Linked DNA regions of Canis lupus familiaris. The protein of the gene in region 1 purifies or fractionates together with the protein of each later gene. This does not show direct contact. Links are inferred from orthologs where the notes say so. Each region holds a gene or a part of one and is shown in the gene's direction. Other genes may lie near its edges.

Region 1 (4,696 bases):
GTAGGGCTTTTTACCGCCATTCTAACAGCTGACTTAACTAGAGGAAAACATAGTTTGAGTCTGGATATAAACCAGGGTCTGCCTAAATCTAAAACTTCATCATATCATAAGGTTATATTGTAAAAAGTTATATTTTATTTCATTGGTTTGGGCCTAATATTCTAGTCTGAGACTATTTTGAGTTTTGATTCTGACATCTACCCAGGTCATTCATCCCTCCAAACTTCGTGTCATCTGAAAGGAGGACATCAATTTTGCCAAGATGGGGGTAGAGAAGATGGGGAAAGGATTTTTTGGAGTGAAAAGAGAGTAGATGGCCTTGATCTGTTAGGTCTAAGGCAAGGTCACACGCCCAGAGTAGGAGGGGTGTAGATGCAGCCTGGTTGTGAAGGGGCAATAAAAGCCAATGGAATAGTCTAACTGCTAAGAATGATAGTGCGGATGGGTAGAGAGTAAAGGACAGAAGGAAGTCAACAACCTGGACCAAGGCAGGGAGAAGCGGAGAGGGTGGTATGGGTGGATGAAATACTTCTCTCCAAGAAAAGCAGAGAATGGGATACACAGTAAAGGGAGAGGTGGCCCACTCAGCTGGTACATTAGTTGTGTGAGGTGCCAGGCAAGGAGGCCGTATGGAATGAGAATATTGAAGAACACAGGTTATGGGGGATGAGATGGGTTATTGTCTGAGGAAAGCTCAGGTTCCAGTAAAAAGGGAAAAGGGAAGAAATGAAAGCTGTAAACGGGAAGCCATATATGTGTCGTGGAAAGCACTGTCCACGGGGACAAGCCTTGCATTTTTACTTCCAGTCTTACCATGTGCCCACGAAACATGGCTAAATGGATGTAAGTGTTCTTTTGACTAGGTTATTTATAAGGATAGTAGATAAACCAAGAATTTTGACACCCTTGCACAGGCCGAGGTTACACACTTTGGGGAAGTGCAGTACTTCCAAAGGCACCTCGGTGTTCCCAGAGACCACATCTCGATAGAAGGAACCACATGGCACCGGCGGGATGGTTCTTCTAAGGAAAACCCCTATTACTGAGGATAAACTGTGGGCTCTGGGGGCAGCTTTGTGCTGTAGGCCTAGGGCTTGCACCCCAAGGTACTCGTAGCAGAATCCCTGTTCTGTTTTAGTTTGAAGCAAAACAGGAAGTTACATCCACCACATCTTTTGCCCAGATAGGCCAATTGGGAATCCTTCCTCGCGTGTTCGCGGGGTGGGCCGGCTCCCTGGTCCGTGGCGGGGGTCGTCGCAGGCGAGCGTGCTTGCCCCGTCCTCTGTCCCCCTCGGAAGGCGCCCGGCGGCTGGCTGTGCTGCCGAAATTAGTGTTTTAGAGTCGTTCCGAGGCCCCGAGGCCCCGAGCGCCCGTTGATGTCACCTGGCTGCCGTTCGCGGCTCCAGGGGACACGTGAAGACGTTTTCTCTGAGGTCGCCGCCGACCACGCACACCTGGGGAGCCTCCCGCGCGTCCTGATGGGTGTCTCCTCGTCGCGGGCCCAAACGGAGTTGGCTGAAGCGTTCAGCGCAGGGCAGCGTCCTCGCCGCGTTTCTCTCGGGGGGAGGCTCCCTCGGGAGCGGGGCGCGCCCCGCTGGGCCCAGGCTTTCAGGTACGGGCTGCAGGGCCGCAGGTGTCCCGGGGCTCGGAGCCCCCGCCCCCGGAGGCAGGAGGCGCAAGGCCCCCCTCGAGGGTGTTTCGGGGCCGCTCCTCCAGACGCGGGTGCCCTCCCCGCCCCCCGTGACCTAGAAAGGTGACCCCTCCTCGTGAGGTCCGAAGTGGCGGGAAGCCGGGTCTCGGGAGGCGCCCGGAGAGGATCGGGGCCGCGGGCGTCCAGGTAGGGAGCCGGCCGGTCGCGGGGGCGCGGGGGCGCGGGGGCGCGGGGGGCGCGGGGGGGCGCCCCCGGGGGCAGGGCAGGGCAGGGCAGGGCAGGGCAGGGCCGCGCCGCGGGGAGGCTTCCGGGCCCCTCCCGCGCCGCGGGCTTGTGAGGAGATGGCGGCGGCGGTTTCCCGGCTCCCCCGCCCCGGACGCCGATGGCGGCGCGTTCCGGCCCTCCCCCCGCAGCCTCTCCCCCGCGGGAGCCGGAGCCGGTGAGGCCGGGAGGGCGGGGAGCGGCGGAGGGGAGGCGAGAGGGCGGAGGTTGCGCGGCGCGGGCGGCGGCGGCGGCGGCGGCGGCGGCGGGCAGGGGGAGGCGGGGGAGGCGGGCGCCGTGTCGCGCGCAGCTCCAGGCGGGGCGGCCCCGCGCTGAGGGACGCGGCCAGACGTCGGCGGGACGGGGAGGCGACCGGGGCCGGCCCGGCGGCCAGGCGGAGGCGTCGCCGAGCCCTCTAGGCCGCAGGGAGATGCGGGTGAGTGGCGGCCGGGCGGCCTGGCGGCGCGGGGCCGGGGCCGGGGCCGGGGCCGGGGCCGGGGCCGGGGCCGGGGCGGGTGGGGCGGGCGGCGGCGGCGGCGGCGGCGCAGGCCCGGGCCGGAGCCGCGGTGTCGCAGTGACGGGGCCGCGGCGGCCGAGCACAGGCGCCCGGCGAGGCCTGAGGCGCCGCGGGCCGGCATGGCGGCCGGGCCGGCGGACTCGTGGGCGGAGGACGCCGGGGCGCGAGGGGAGCGAGCGGGGCCCGGGCCTGAGTCACCCCGGCCGGCTGCGGCCTGCGCGGGCCGCGGGCTCGGTGCGGCCAGGCCTGGACTACGCACTGGGGCGCGGGGTGGGGATTTAAAAAAAAAAAAAAAAAGCCCGATTCATCGCGTCTGAGCGTCAGAGGCGCCGGCCTTGCGGCGCCGGCCTCTCCCCCGGCGGCGACCGGGCCCGGCCTGTCGTGCGGCGGCCCCTCGGGGCGCCCGGGCTCGCCCCCATCCCCCCCCCCCGGGCCGCTAGTCCCCCGCGCGGCGCTTCCCCCTCCGACTCGCGCTCAAGAAAGTGCAGGGCTCGCGCGCCGGGGAGCCGGGCAGCCGGGCAGCCGGGGAGCCGGGCTCTGCTCTCGGGGTCCCCCCCGCATTGTTGCGACGGGGCAGGTCGCGATTATTGGGCAACAGTCGCCGCTCGGCCCGGGGAGGCGCGCGGGTGCGGGCGCGGCGGCCGGCGGGACGGAGCCCCCGGTGACCCTCGGCGCCCCCCGGTGCCCCCCCCCCCCCGGCGCCCGCGAGTCGGGCCGGGCCTCGGCGCGCCCCCGGCCCTGCGCCCGGCGGGAGCGCGCGCTGACCCCGCAGGTAACCCGGCGCGGGCGGGGTCGCCCCCCCCCACCTGTGCCGCGCCGGGGTCGGTGGCCCACATGGTTAAAGGGAGAGGGAGGCGCTTGAGGAACATTCCTGGAGACTTGAGCCCCAAAGTTGAGGGTTTTCTCTCTCTCTCTCTCTCTCTCTCTCTCTCTTTTGCCAAAAACAGGATTCTCTGTTCCGATTGGATCACGAGGCGGTTGCTCTTTAGTTCGTAGTTTGGGGTTAGCGGTGGTAAGTGTGCAAATACGGAATTGCAGTCGGCGTCCTCAAGTCCTGTATTTGCTGCTGCGTGTAATTGCCCCTTCCCTGGAGTGTGGCGTTTGAGACAAAGTGAAGAGTGGAGTAAGTGGCCACGCTGTTGTTGGAAACGCTCTTAGCGGAGTGACAGAAGGGCGACTAAATTCGCTGTTACCTCGAGCCCTGAGTGTGTGGGACCTAACCCTTTCCCAAAACGCCCCGCCGCAGCGTGTGCAGTTCTAAGTTTAACACCTCCTCCCCCTTGTCTACCTGATTCTCTGAAACGCTGGAGAGCTTATGGCTTTGTGTAGCGAGAGCGGAAATGTTGAAAAGCAAAACCAGCCGTTTTGTGGAAAAAGGAATTTTGGGTTTTCTTTGTTTAAAAAAGGGTGCTTGGATATTAGGATTTTTTTTTTTTTTTTTTTAAGTGGAAGTGCTATTTGTTGCTTTCCCCGTTAAGTCAAATAGCACCGCATTTCCAGTTCCCAAGCGCGCAAGCTTTAAACCCCACCGTGCCCATTTTTGGAGGTTTCGGGAGACTGCGCATCAAGTCTGAGAGAATTACTCTCTGAAAATATTAGACGTTTTTTTCCTCGTCGGCACCGTCTTTTAAAAACGATTTTGCCGAAAAGAAAAAGGAGACACTGTAGACAGGCTTAGGCTTTTAATTTTGAATACCCTCCCTCTCTCAGCCACATGCTCAGGTCCTTGCAGCCGTGTCTCTCAGTCCTAATGTCTGGGAGGCCACATCAAGAGGCCAGAGGGACACAGGAATGGCTGTACTGGTTCTGCAGTCTGCTTCCATGTCACAGCCCCTAAGACTCCTTTGCCTCTTGCTGAATATTGTCTGCTAGAGGTGATTAACTTAGTGTTGTCATTGCAGCCTTTATGCATTTCAGGCTATGAATTCCTTGAAGGTAGGGGATATGCCTTCCTTTTGCCTCCCCAAAGTAGCATGGAACTTGGTATCCCAGTTGTCTTTTGAATGAGTAAATCTGGAATGATTCTGATACCCAGTGTTTGACCACTTCTGATGTGGGCTGCAGAAAACCCTGCTTATGCTGGTAAGAATGAAAGTTTTATTATCATTGGGGTCATCGTTGGATCCAATATAGTGCCCCAACAGAAAAATACTCAGGTTTTCTTCAGCAGTGGGAATCTAGGAAAGTGTTAACAAGTGGTGAAACTTCAATTAGCTTTTTTCCTTGGGAACTAGTTTTAAGGTGCAGCTAGCTAGTTATTTATCTAT
Region 2 (4,620 bases), on another chromosome or scaffold:
CGCCTGCTGCTTGGTTCGGTGACTCCTGCAGCGGTGAAGCCTCTTCCTCCTCCTCCTCCTCCTCCACTCCTGGGGTCCTCACCCGCAGGTCAGACCCCAGACCTGCTGTGGATGCAGATGGCGGTGATGGCAACAACAGCAGCAGACCCTGGAAGGCGGCAGCCGAAGTGACCAGAAGAGCGGTCAGCACCCAGAAAAAGGTGCTGGCGGGAAAACGCTCTGGGAAGTCGTTGGGGAGCCAGAGGGTGCCATTGGAAGAAGCTGGCAGACATTCGAGGTGGCCTACGCCTTGCAGTAGGGCCAGCACACAGGGCAGCAGGGCGCTGAGGCCCTGACCCAGGAAGAAGGAGCGCAGGAAGGGAGGTGGCAGGTGGCTCAGGAAGGGCAGGAAGGTGACATTAGAGGCACAGCAGGCCAGGGCCAGCACGGAGGCCAGCGTCAGGAAGGCCACGGAGTGGAGCTGCCCCGCTATGGGGGCCACGTGGTGCCACAGTGGGGCCAGCAGGGCTGTGCCCACAACGCTCAGCGCCTGTACCACCTGGATGGGGACCCGCTCGCTCTTGCCCGGAGCCAGCCGCCTCCACAGAGTCACCAACAACAGACCCAGGTTCCCCAGCGCCACCAGCACAGACAGATAGGACGGCAGACTCCAACCTGCGGGGAGGGGAGAGCAGCGGTGAGAGGCGGCAGCTCAGGGCAGCCAACCCCCGCCCCCTGCGCGCCCCCTGCACGCCCCGCTCACCCTCGGGAAGGTCTTTCACCACCACGGGCAGCTCCACCCAGATCCCGTTGATGGCAGCCCAAGAGCCCATGCCAAAGAGGGCCACCAGCAGGTGTGTCGACAAGAGGCGGCCCAGCCGGGGTGCTGCCATCCGGCCCGCGCTGGGCCCCGCAGCACAGCCCAGGGTCACGGCCTGCTCCTCCGTCCCCGCCTCGGCCCGAGCGCACGCTCCGGCTCTGCCGCGACCCCAAGGCCTCCGACACCTCGAAGAAAACAGACGCGGACGCGGGGCCACACGTCAGACAGACCTGCACGGCGACGAGCAGGGCCAGCGGGCCTCGACGGTGCCGGGGCGGCGCACCCGGAACGCGCTAGCGGCAGGAGGCGCAGCACGCGGGGCCCCGGCAGCACGCGGGGAGGGGGCCCCACGCCCCGCCTGCGCTGCTCGGGCCACCACCGCCCGCCCCCGGGGCGGACCCGGACCCGGGACGGGGATCCCCAGCGCCGCGCACACCTCGGCTGCCGCTCCGCCCCGGCGAGAGTTCCAGGCTTCTGCGAGCCCCGGGCCGGCGGGAGCGAAGGCGGGTCCGCGGGGAGGGGGCGTGTCCACGGACGGGGGCGTGTCCTCGGGAGGGGGCGGGCCCCGCACCGCCCCTCGCGGCGTCCGGTGGGCGGCGCAGAGCTGCCGGGCGCCCCCCGCCCCGACAGCCAGGCGTCTCGCCACGCTCCACCGGCGGCGCCTCGGGCCCGGAGCCGGGGGCGGGGGCCGGGAACCACTGCCCCGCCGGACCGAGCGCCCACCCCACAGCCAGACCGCAGGAAGCCGCAGGCCGCGCAGCCCGCCTCGGCCTCCCGCGAGGCCGCAGCCGGAAGTCCCGCCTCGGAAGTCGGGCGCGGGGCGTGTCGGCCCAGGCCCCGCCCTTCCGCCGCGGGACCCGCCCCTTCCGCCGCCCCGGGGCGGCAGGGGGCTTCTGCTGGGAGCTATGGCTGCCGGGGCGGCGCGACGGGCCCGGCGCCGGGTTCGGGGCGCGCAGCCGGCCGGGGAGCGGGCTCGCTCGGCCGAGGACTGGTGGTGGGACCAGCTGGCGCCGAGCGGCTCCGGGTACCACCTGCTGCAGTCGGACAGCATGCTGCTGGTGCTGCCGGGCCCGGGGCCTGCCCGTCCCCGCGTGCACCGGCGCGCCGCCCGCCGCGCTCAGCGGCAGCCGGCCCCCGCGCCCCGCGCCCCGGGCGCCAAGGCCAGACCTAGAATGGCGCCCGCCCCGGAGCCGCCGCCGGGGCCCGACCCGGGCTGGGGCGACCGCATCCCCCTGGAAATTCTCCTGCAGATCTTCGGGCTGCTGGTGGCGGCCGATGGGCCCGTGCCCTTCCTCGGCAGGTACCTCAGGCCCGGGGGGCGCAGCGGCACGGTCCAGCTGACCTCTTGCCCAGCGGGCGGGTGGCCGCGGCGGGGGCACCGCGGGGGACAGAGCGCAGCCTTTCGGGGGTCCACAGAGAGCCCAGGGCCGGCCCTGCAGCCGAGCTGTCTGCAGCCTGGTGAGGACGACGGGGACCGCGGTCTCGTCGCAGCCCCTCAGCCCAGGTCTCCTCCCAGGGCTGCTCGCGTGTGCCGCCGCTGGCACCAGGCGGCCTCCCAGCCTGCGCTCTGGCACACCGTGACCCTGTCACCGTCGCCGGCTGGCCGCCTCGCCAAGAGTGAAGCCAAGGCCGAGAAGAAGCTTCTCGCCTCCCTGGAGTGGCTTATGCCCAATCGGTGAGACCTTCTCTCTTTTCTTTCTTCCCTGGCTTCCTGTCGGCGGCTGGTAGAAAGCCAGCGGCTGTGTGTGTCTCCCTAGCGGAAGGGGTGGGTGGGGACGCCGCTGTCGGGCAGCGTGGGAACACCGTGCAGCTCTGCCTCTGCTGTCGGCCCAGGTTCTCGCAGCTCCAGAGGCTGACCCTCATCCACTGGAAGTCCCAGGTACACCCCGTGTTGAAGGTGAGAGCTCCAGGCTGCCCTGCCCACCAGCCATGACATTTTGGGATTGCCCAGTACTTCCAGGAAGTGGTCAGGCACCTGGAGCCCAGTGTTGCCCCACGGGGATGCCTGCCTGGGCCTCCTTTCCTGTTGTTTCTTTCAGCAGGGAGGTGTCAGAACTGGGAGCACCATGTTGGCCTGCCATGGGCAGAAAGGAGGTCATAGCTGAGGCAGTAGTGAGGGTTTGGTGTTGGCCACTGGTTTTTTCCTTTGTGGACACATGACCTCTCCCAATCTCTGGTGGTATTCTGTCTTCCACAGCTGGTTAGCGAGTCCTGTCCTCGGCTCACCTTCCTCAAGCTTTCCGATTGCCATGGTGTAACCTCTGACACTCTGATTATGCTAGCCAAAGCCTGCCCTCAGCTCCACAGCCTGGACATACAGCACTCCATGGTGAGCCCTGTGTCCCCAGGGGCCCTGAAGAAGCCTGGGCCAAAGGGACGGGTACCCATGTGCTGGGTTCCCAGGTGGAGTCCACAGCCGTGGTGAGCTTCTTGGAGGAGGCAGGGCCCCGAATGCGCAAGTTGTGGCTGACCTACAGCTCCCAGACAACAGCCATCCTGGGTGCGCTTCTGGTAGGTTGGTGATGGGCGGCAGCAGAGCGGGATGCTGAGCCCGGCACAGCCAGGCCGCTGAATCTGTTCTCCTCCATCTCTGCAGGGCAGCTGTTGCCCCCAGCTCCAGGTCCTGGAGGTGAGCACCGGCATCAACCGCAGCAGCACTCCTCTCCAGCTGCCTGTTGAGGGGCTGCAGAAGGGCTGCCCCCAGCTGCAGGTACCTGACACCCCGCCTCTCCCACCTGCCACCCTCCCTTCCCGTCTGCAGCCTGGGCCTCGCTCCAGGTGCTGCGGCTCCTAAACCTGATGTGGCTGCCCAAGCCTTCCGGGCGAGTGGTGACTCCTGGCCCAGGCTTCCCCAGCCTTGAGGAGCTCTGCCTCGCCGGTTCCACCTGCAACTTTGTAAGCAACGAGGCCCTGGGCCGCCTGCTCCACGGCTCCCCTAACCTGCGCCTGCTGGATCTTCGTGGCTGTGCCCGCATCACACCTGCCGGCCTGCACGATCTGCCGTGTCAGGGTCAGCTTTCTCTGGATGGTGGCTGGGCGGGAGGGATGTGGGCACCCTTGCCGCCCCAAGACTCATGACCACTCTTCCCTTGCAGAGCTAGAACAGCTTCACTTGGGTCTTTATGGCACGTCAGATCGCTTGACTCTAGCCAAAGAGGGCAGCCACCTGTTGACTCAGAAGTGGTGCCACACTCTGCGGGAACTGGACTTGAGTGGCCAGGGCTTCAGTGAGAAAGACCTGGAGCAGGCCTTGGCTGCCTTCTCAGCCACCCGTGGGGGCTCACACCCAGCCCTATGCTCTGTCAACCTCAGGGGCACTCGGGTCACACCAAGCACAGTCAGGTCAGCATCCCCATTCCCGGTCTCTTGGAGTCAGTACGGCTTGCAAGTTTCAGTTTACAAAAGGGGAGCACGTGTTGGCCAAGCTCCTGTTTAGGATGGACATTAGGGACACCAAGGGTACTGGGCTTGGGCCTCGGTGGCTGTGGGTGGCAGAGCCAGGTGTGGCGCCTGGGCAGAGAGGGCTTCTTACCTTGGCCAAGCCCCAGCGGGGCCTGGGTCTTTTGGGAACCAGCGGCTCGACTCCCCATGGTGTGCCCTGCCCCCACAGCTCTGTCATCAGCAGCTGCCCAGGCCTGCTCTATCTCAACCTGGAGTCCTGCCGCTGCCTTCCTCGGGGCCTGAAGCGGGCCTACCGAGGCCAGGAGGAAGTCCAGTGGTGCCTGGAGCAGCTGCTCACCAGCCTCCCCTCCTCCAGCTAGGCAGCTCCAGACCCCCAGCCCTCAGGTAGTCAGCGGTGCCTGCCACCCTTTCCACATTTT
Region 3 (4,472 bases), on another chromosome or scaffold:
AGACGCGAAGAGCTCTGAATTAACATCTAGATCACGGGATTCTTTTTTTTTTTTTTTTTTTTTTTTAATTTTTATTTATTTATGATAGGCACACAGTGAGAGAGAGAGAGAGGCAGAGACACAGGCAGAGGGAGAAGCAGGCTCCATGCACTGGGAGCCCGACGTGGGACTCAATCCCGGATCTCCAGGATCGCGCCCTGGGCCAAAGGCAGGCACTAAACCGCTGCGCCACCCAGGGATCCCTAGATCACGGGATTCTGAGCAAGCTTATCTGTCTGAAACTCAGTTTCCCCCACCTGTAATTTGGGGAGATAAGAGCTGAGAGGGATATTGGGAAGGACCGCTGAGCTCATGCACAGGAAGTGCTGAGGACGCACAAGAAAGATGGATTCTGTTAAGATCGCGGGTTCGGGGGGATCCCTGGGTGGCTCAGCATCCCTGGGTGGCTCAGCGGTTTGGCGCCTGCCTTTGGCCCAGGGCGCATCCTGGGGTCCCGGGCTCGAATCCTGCGTCGGGCTCCTGGCATGGAGCCTGCTTCTGCCTCTGCCTGTGTCTCTCTGCCTCTCTCTCTCTAGGTCTATCATGAATAAATAAATAAAATCTTAAAAAAAAGAAAAGAAAAGAAAAGAAAAAGATCGCAGGTTCGCAGCTCCCAGAGCCACACCACAGTTTGCAATGGCTCTGCTGGGGATTTACCCCAAAGATACAGATGCACTGAAATGCCGGGACACCCGCACCCGATGTTTATTTTTTATTTTTTTTGAAGATTTTATTTATTCATTCATGAGAGAACAGACAGAGAGAGAGGCAGAGACACAGGCAGAGGGAGAAGCAGGCCCCATGCAGGGAGCCTGACGTCCTCCGGGATCAGGCCCCGGGCTGCAGGCAGGCACTTTACCTGCTGAGCCACCCGGGGGTCCCTGCACCCGATGTTTCTAGCAGCAATGGCCACAATAGCCAAACTGTGGAAGGAGCCTCGGTGTCCATCGAAGGATGATGGATAAAGAAGCTGTGGTCTATGTATACAGTGGGATATTCCTCAGCCTTGAGAAACGACAAAGACCCACATTTGCTTGGACGTGGCTGGAGCTGGAGGGTATGATGCTGAGTGAAGTAAGTCAGTCGGAGAAGGACAAACATTATATGGTCTCGTTCATTTGGGGAATATAAAACATAGTGAAATGGAATAAAGGGGAAAGGAGAAAAAATGAGTGGGAAATATCAGAAAGGGAGACAGAACATGAGGGACTCCTAACTCTGGGAAACGAACTAGGGGTGGTGGGAGGGGAGGCGGGCGGGGGTGGGGGTGACCGGGTGGCGGGCACTGGGGGGGGCAGTTGACGGGATGAGCGCTGGCTGTTGTGCTATATGTTGGCAAATCGAACGCCAATTAAAAAAAAACAGAAAGAACGCGCTTCCCTCCGCCAGCCGCCAGCCGCCGGCCGCGGCCCGGGCCCAGGGGGCGTGGCCACGGGGAGGGGGCGGGGCTACCCCCGAGCCCGCCCCTCGAGGCGGGTGGGCGGGGCGAGGCGGGGCGCCCTGGCGCGCGCGCGCGGCGGGCCCAGGTACGCGGACAAGATGGCGGCGGCAGCGGTCGACAGCGCGATGGAGGTGGTGCCGGCGCTGGCGGAGGAGGCCGCGCCCGAGGCGGCGGGCCTCAGCTGTCTGGTCAACCTGCCCGGCGAGGTGCTGGAGTACATCCTGTGCAGCGGCTCGCTGACGGCCGCCGACATCGGCCGCGTGTCCAGCACCTGCCGGCGGCTGCGCGAGCTGTGCCAGAGTAGCGGGAAGGTGTGGAAGGAGCAGTTCCGGGTGAGGTGAGCCCGCCGCCCGCGCCCCCGCGCCCGCGCCCGCGCCCCCGCCCCCGCCCCCCCGGGCCCGGCCGCGGCCCGCCCGCGCCCCCGCCTCGCCGCCCGCGCCGACCCCCTCGGCGGGCCGCAGACAAAGGCCTCCAGGCCGCCGGCCCCGGGCCCGGGGCTCCCCGCCGGCCCCCGCCGCCCCCCGCCGCCGCCCGGATTGCGCGGCCCGGGCCCGCCGTGCACCCACCGCGACGCCGCGGGGACCGCCGCCCCGCCGCCCTGAGCGCTCCTTTGTGCCCGGCTCCGGGCCAGCGCGCCGACACGGATCCCGCGCCGCCGGGTCCTCGCCCGCAGCCGGGGAGGCGGACGCAGCATCCCGGCCGCGGGCCCGCAGCACGGACCTCGGGGTGGGACCCGGGTAAATCCGGCTCCCGCACACTTGCCGGATGACCTTGGGGGGGGGGGGGCACTTCCCTTTCTTTGGAGCCTCGTTCATCGACTTTACGCGGGGATCGCCAGACCCGTGTTTCACTGCGGTCATTACACGGATGATGCGTGAGGAGCGTTGACACAGGGCCCGGCTCTCGGGAGGCGCGATCGGTCGTCACTGTTATTGTGGCTGCAGCTGCCCCCATTTCCTAGACGGGCAGTGGAGACTCCGCATTCCTCGGCCTGCTTCCCCCAAGGTCATGCCGCGAGCCGCGTGCTGGGTCCCCCGCCGGGGCCCCTGCTGCCCCTGCTTCTCGAGGCCGCCTTCAGTGTCTCCGTGAAGCTGAGAGGGTGTTTCTCTCCTTGTAGGTGGCCTTCCCTTATGAAACACTACAGCCCCACCGACTACGTCAATTGGCTGGAGGAGTATAAAGTTCGGCAAAAAGCTGGGTTAGAAGCCCGGAAGATTGTAGCCTCATTCTCAAAGAGGTTCTTTTCAGAGCACGTAAGGATCTGTTGATGTAGCCCCCGCCCCGCCCGCCCCCCTCTTTTGCCTGGTAGCCGTGTGTGTGTGTGTGTGTGTGTGTGTGTGTGTGTGTGTGTGTGTGTGTCCGGGCCCGTAGGCATTAGCTCATCCAGCTCCTTCTGATAGCCCTTTTTCAGTTCTCTCCCAATCCCTGACTCACTTAGATGGCCGCAAGAGTCATTGTGTCCTCCTCTCCAGCAACACGAAGCCATTTGTCCCTGCCAGCTTTACTTTTTCTAAAGCCAGAGAGAGAGAGAATGGGGGTGGAGAGGGAGGGAGGGACCCACAGCACAATGTAGAGGGGATCCGGATCAGCATTATGTCTCTTCTCAGGAGGTTAAACATCTTTTTTACAGCCTCCGCTTCAGCTAAGGGATCACCAGGGATGGAACACTACAGATTTCACCCAGTTGTTTTCCCAGAAGGGTTGACGAAACTCATTCGGTTTTTTTTCTTCTCTCTGGCTTTGCAGGTTCTAAACCAGTAGTGAATAGCATTATTTCTTAAGATAACAGAACTAGAAGCTATCTGTTGTAAATAAGAATTCTTACTCCCTCTGTTAAATTATCTAGTATTCTTTAACCCTGATAAGTTTTTGTGGTTCTTAAAAATATTGCTGAAACGCCCGGGTTTTTGTTGTTGCTTTTGTTTTCCCCACAAAGTATCTCAGGAGTTTCTGTATTAGGCCATGAGTCTTAACTTTTTGTAATTCTGGGAAGTAGTTCACACTAATATTTTAAATTTATTTCTGATTGAGGGTCTAGAAGTAGAGCCGGTCTGATTTATTTATTTATTGGGTTTGAGGTTTGTTTTGTTTTGAGTAAACTGTATGCCCAGTGTGGGGCTTGGACTCAGGACCCTGAGATCAAGAGTCACATGCTCTACTGAGTGAGCCAGCCAGGCGCCCCTGATTTATTTTACTATCCTTTTTTTTTTTTTTTTTTTTTTTTACTATCCTGGTTTACTGAAGATTACTTCCTCTTTTCTTTCTCTATTTTTTAGGATTTTATTTTTTAAGTAATCTCTGCACTCAATATGGGGCTTGAACTTAACAACCCTGAGATCAAGAATTGCATGTTGTCCTGACTGAACTAGCAGGGCACCCAGATTAATTTCCTGTTTTCTAATTTTAATTAATGTTATTTCATGGATTCACACATGAGAAACATTTTCAAGGCTTTTCAAGTTTTGAAAGGAAAATCTGAACTTTGGACAAATTTGAACTTATTCTCCTGTAGAAAATAAAGCTAGATATCCTCCAGTGTAATTCATTTCTTTTTTTTTTGATTTTATTTCTTTATTAGAGAGCAGGAGCTAGAGTCAGAGCAAGTGGAGGGTGTCGGGAGGGGATGGCAAGCCAGCTGGGCACTGAGCGCAGAGCCAGAAGCAGAACTTGATCTCAGGACCTGCGCCGAAATCAAGAGTTGGACACTTAACTGCTTGGGCCCCCCAGGAGCCCCCAGTGTAATTTCTATAAATAAGCGTTGGTTGATATTAGGATGGACAGAATTTATGTTCTATTCTAGGTAAGCCATGCCCTGGCCAAAAGCATTCATATCAGATTTTAAACCTGTACAGATGTGTTTGCACACACATGTATTTGGATGCTAGATGTATTTGATGCCCTTGTTCATGGGCTACTAGTTTGCAACCTCTACTTCTAGTCCAGCTGGTTTTGTGTGCATTTTTAACAGCCTGTGTGTTTGTCTAATAATGAT

What was found. Proteins that work in one complex are often made in the same cells at the same time.
Region 2: the proteins of CUL1 (region 1) and FBXL6 purify together in Homo sapiens (affinity purification with mass spectrometry; 4 studies listed by BioGRID, with this or other methods). This does not show direct contact. The link is inferred for Canis lupus familiaris from reciprocal best matches to the Homo sapiens genes CUL1 and FBXL6.
Region 3: the proteins of CUL1 (region 1) and FBXO21 purify together in Homo sapiens (affinity purification with mass spectrometry; 6 studies listed by BioGRID and IntAct, with this or other methods). This does not show direct contact. The link is inferred for Canis lupus familiaris from reciprocal best matches to the Homo sapiens genes CUL1 and FBXO21.

The regions. Positions count from the first base shown.
Region 1 is NC_049237.1:1,740,330-1,745,025, reverse strand, and holds the start of CUL1 (cullin-1), read left to right. Parts: upstream 1-1,570; 5' UTR 1,571-1,837; intron 1,838-1,965; exon of another isoform or gene 1,966-2,090; intron 2,091-2,108; exon of another isoform or gene 2,109-2,348; intron 2,349-3,376; exon of another isoform or gene 3,377-3,441; intron 3,442-4,696. UniProt on the Homo sapiens protein: Core component of multiple cullin-RING-based SCF (SKP1-CUL1-F-box protein) E3 ubiquitin-protein ligase complexes, which mediate the ubiquitination of proteins involved in cell cycle progression, signal transduction and transcription.
Region 2 is NC_049234.1:38,533,426-38,538,045, reverse strand, and holds the start of FBXL6 (F-box/LRR-repeat protein 6), read left to right. Parts: upstream 1-1,704; coding exon 1,705-2,099; intron 2,100-2,315; coding exon 2,316-2,474; intron 2,475-2,632; coding exon 2,633-2,696; intron 2,697-2,996; coding exon 2,997-3,128; intron 3,129-3,202; coding exon 3,203-3,310; intron 3,311-3,395; coding exon 3,396-3,509; intron 3,510-3,577; coding exon 3,578-3,809; intron 3,810-3,894; coding exon 3,895-4,141; intron 4,142-4,409; coding exon 4,410-4,560; 3' UTR 4,561-4,620. Other genes in the region: SLC52A2 (solute carrier family 52, riboflavin transporter, member 2), read right to left, coding at 1-654, 743-872.
Region 3 is NC_049247.1:14,101,431-14,105,902, reverse strand, and holds the start of FBXO21 (F-box only protein 21), read left to right. Parts: upstream 1-1,556; 5' UTR 1,557-1,578; coding exon 1,579-1,817; intron 1,818-2,326; exon of another isoform or gene 2,327-2,485; intron 2,486-2,597; coding exon 2,598-2,733; intron 2,734-4,472. UniProt on the Homo sapiens protein: Substrate-recognition component of the SCF (SKP1-CUL1-F-box protein)-type E3 ubiquitin ligase complex.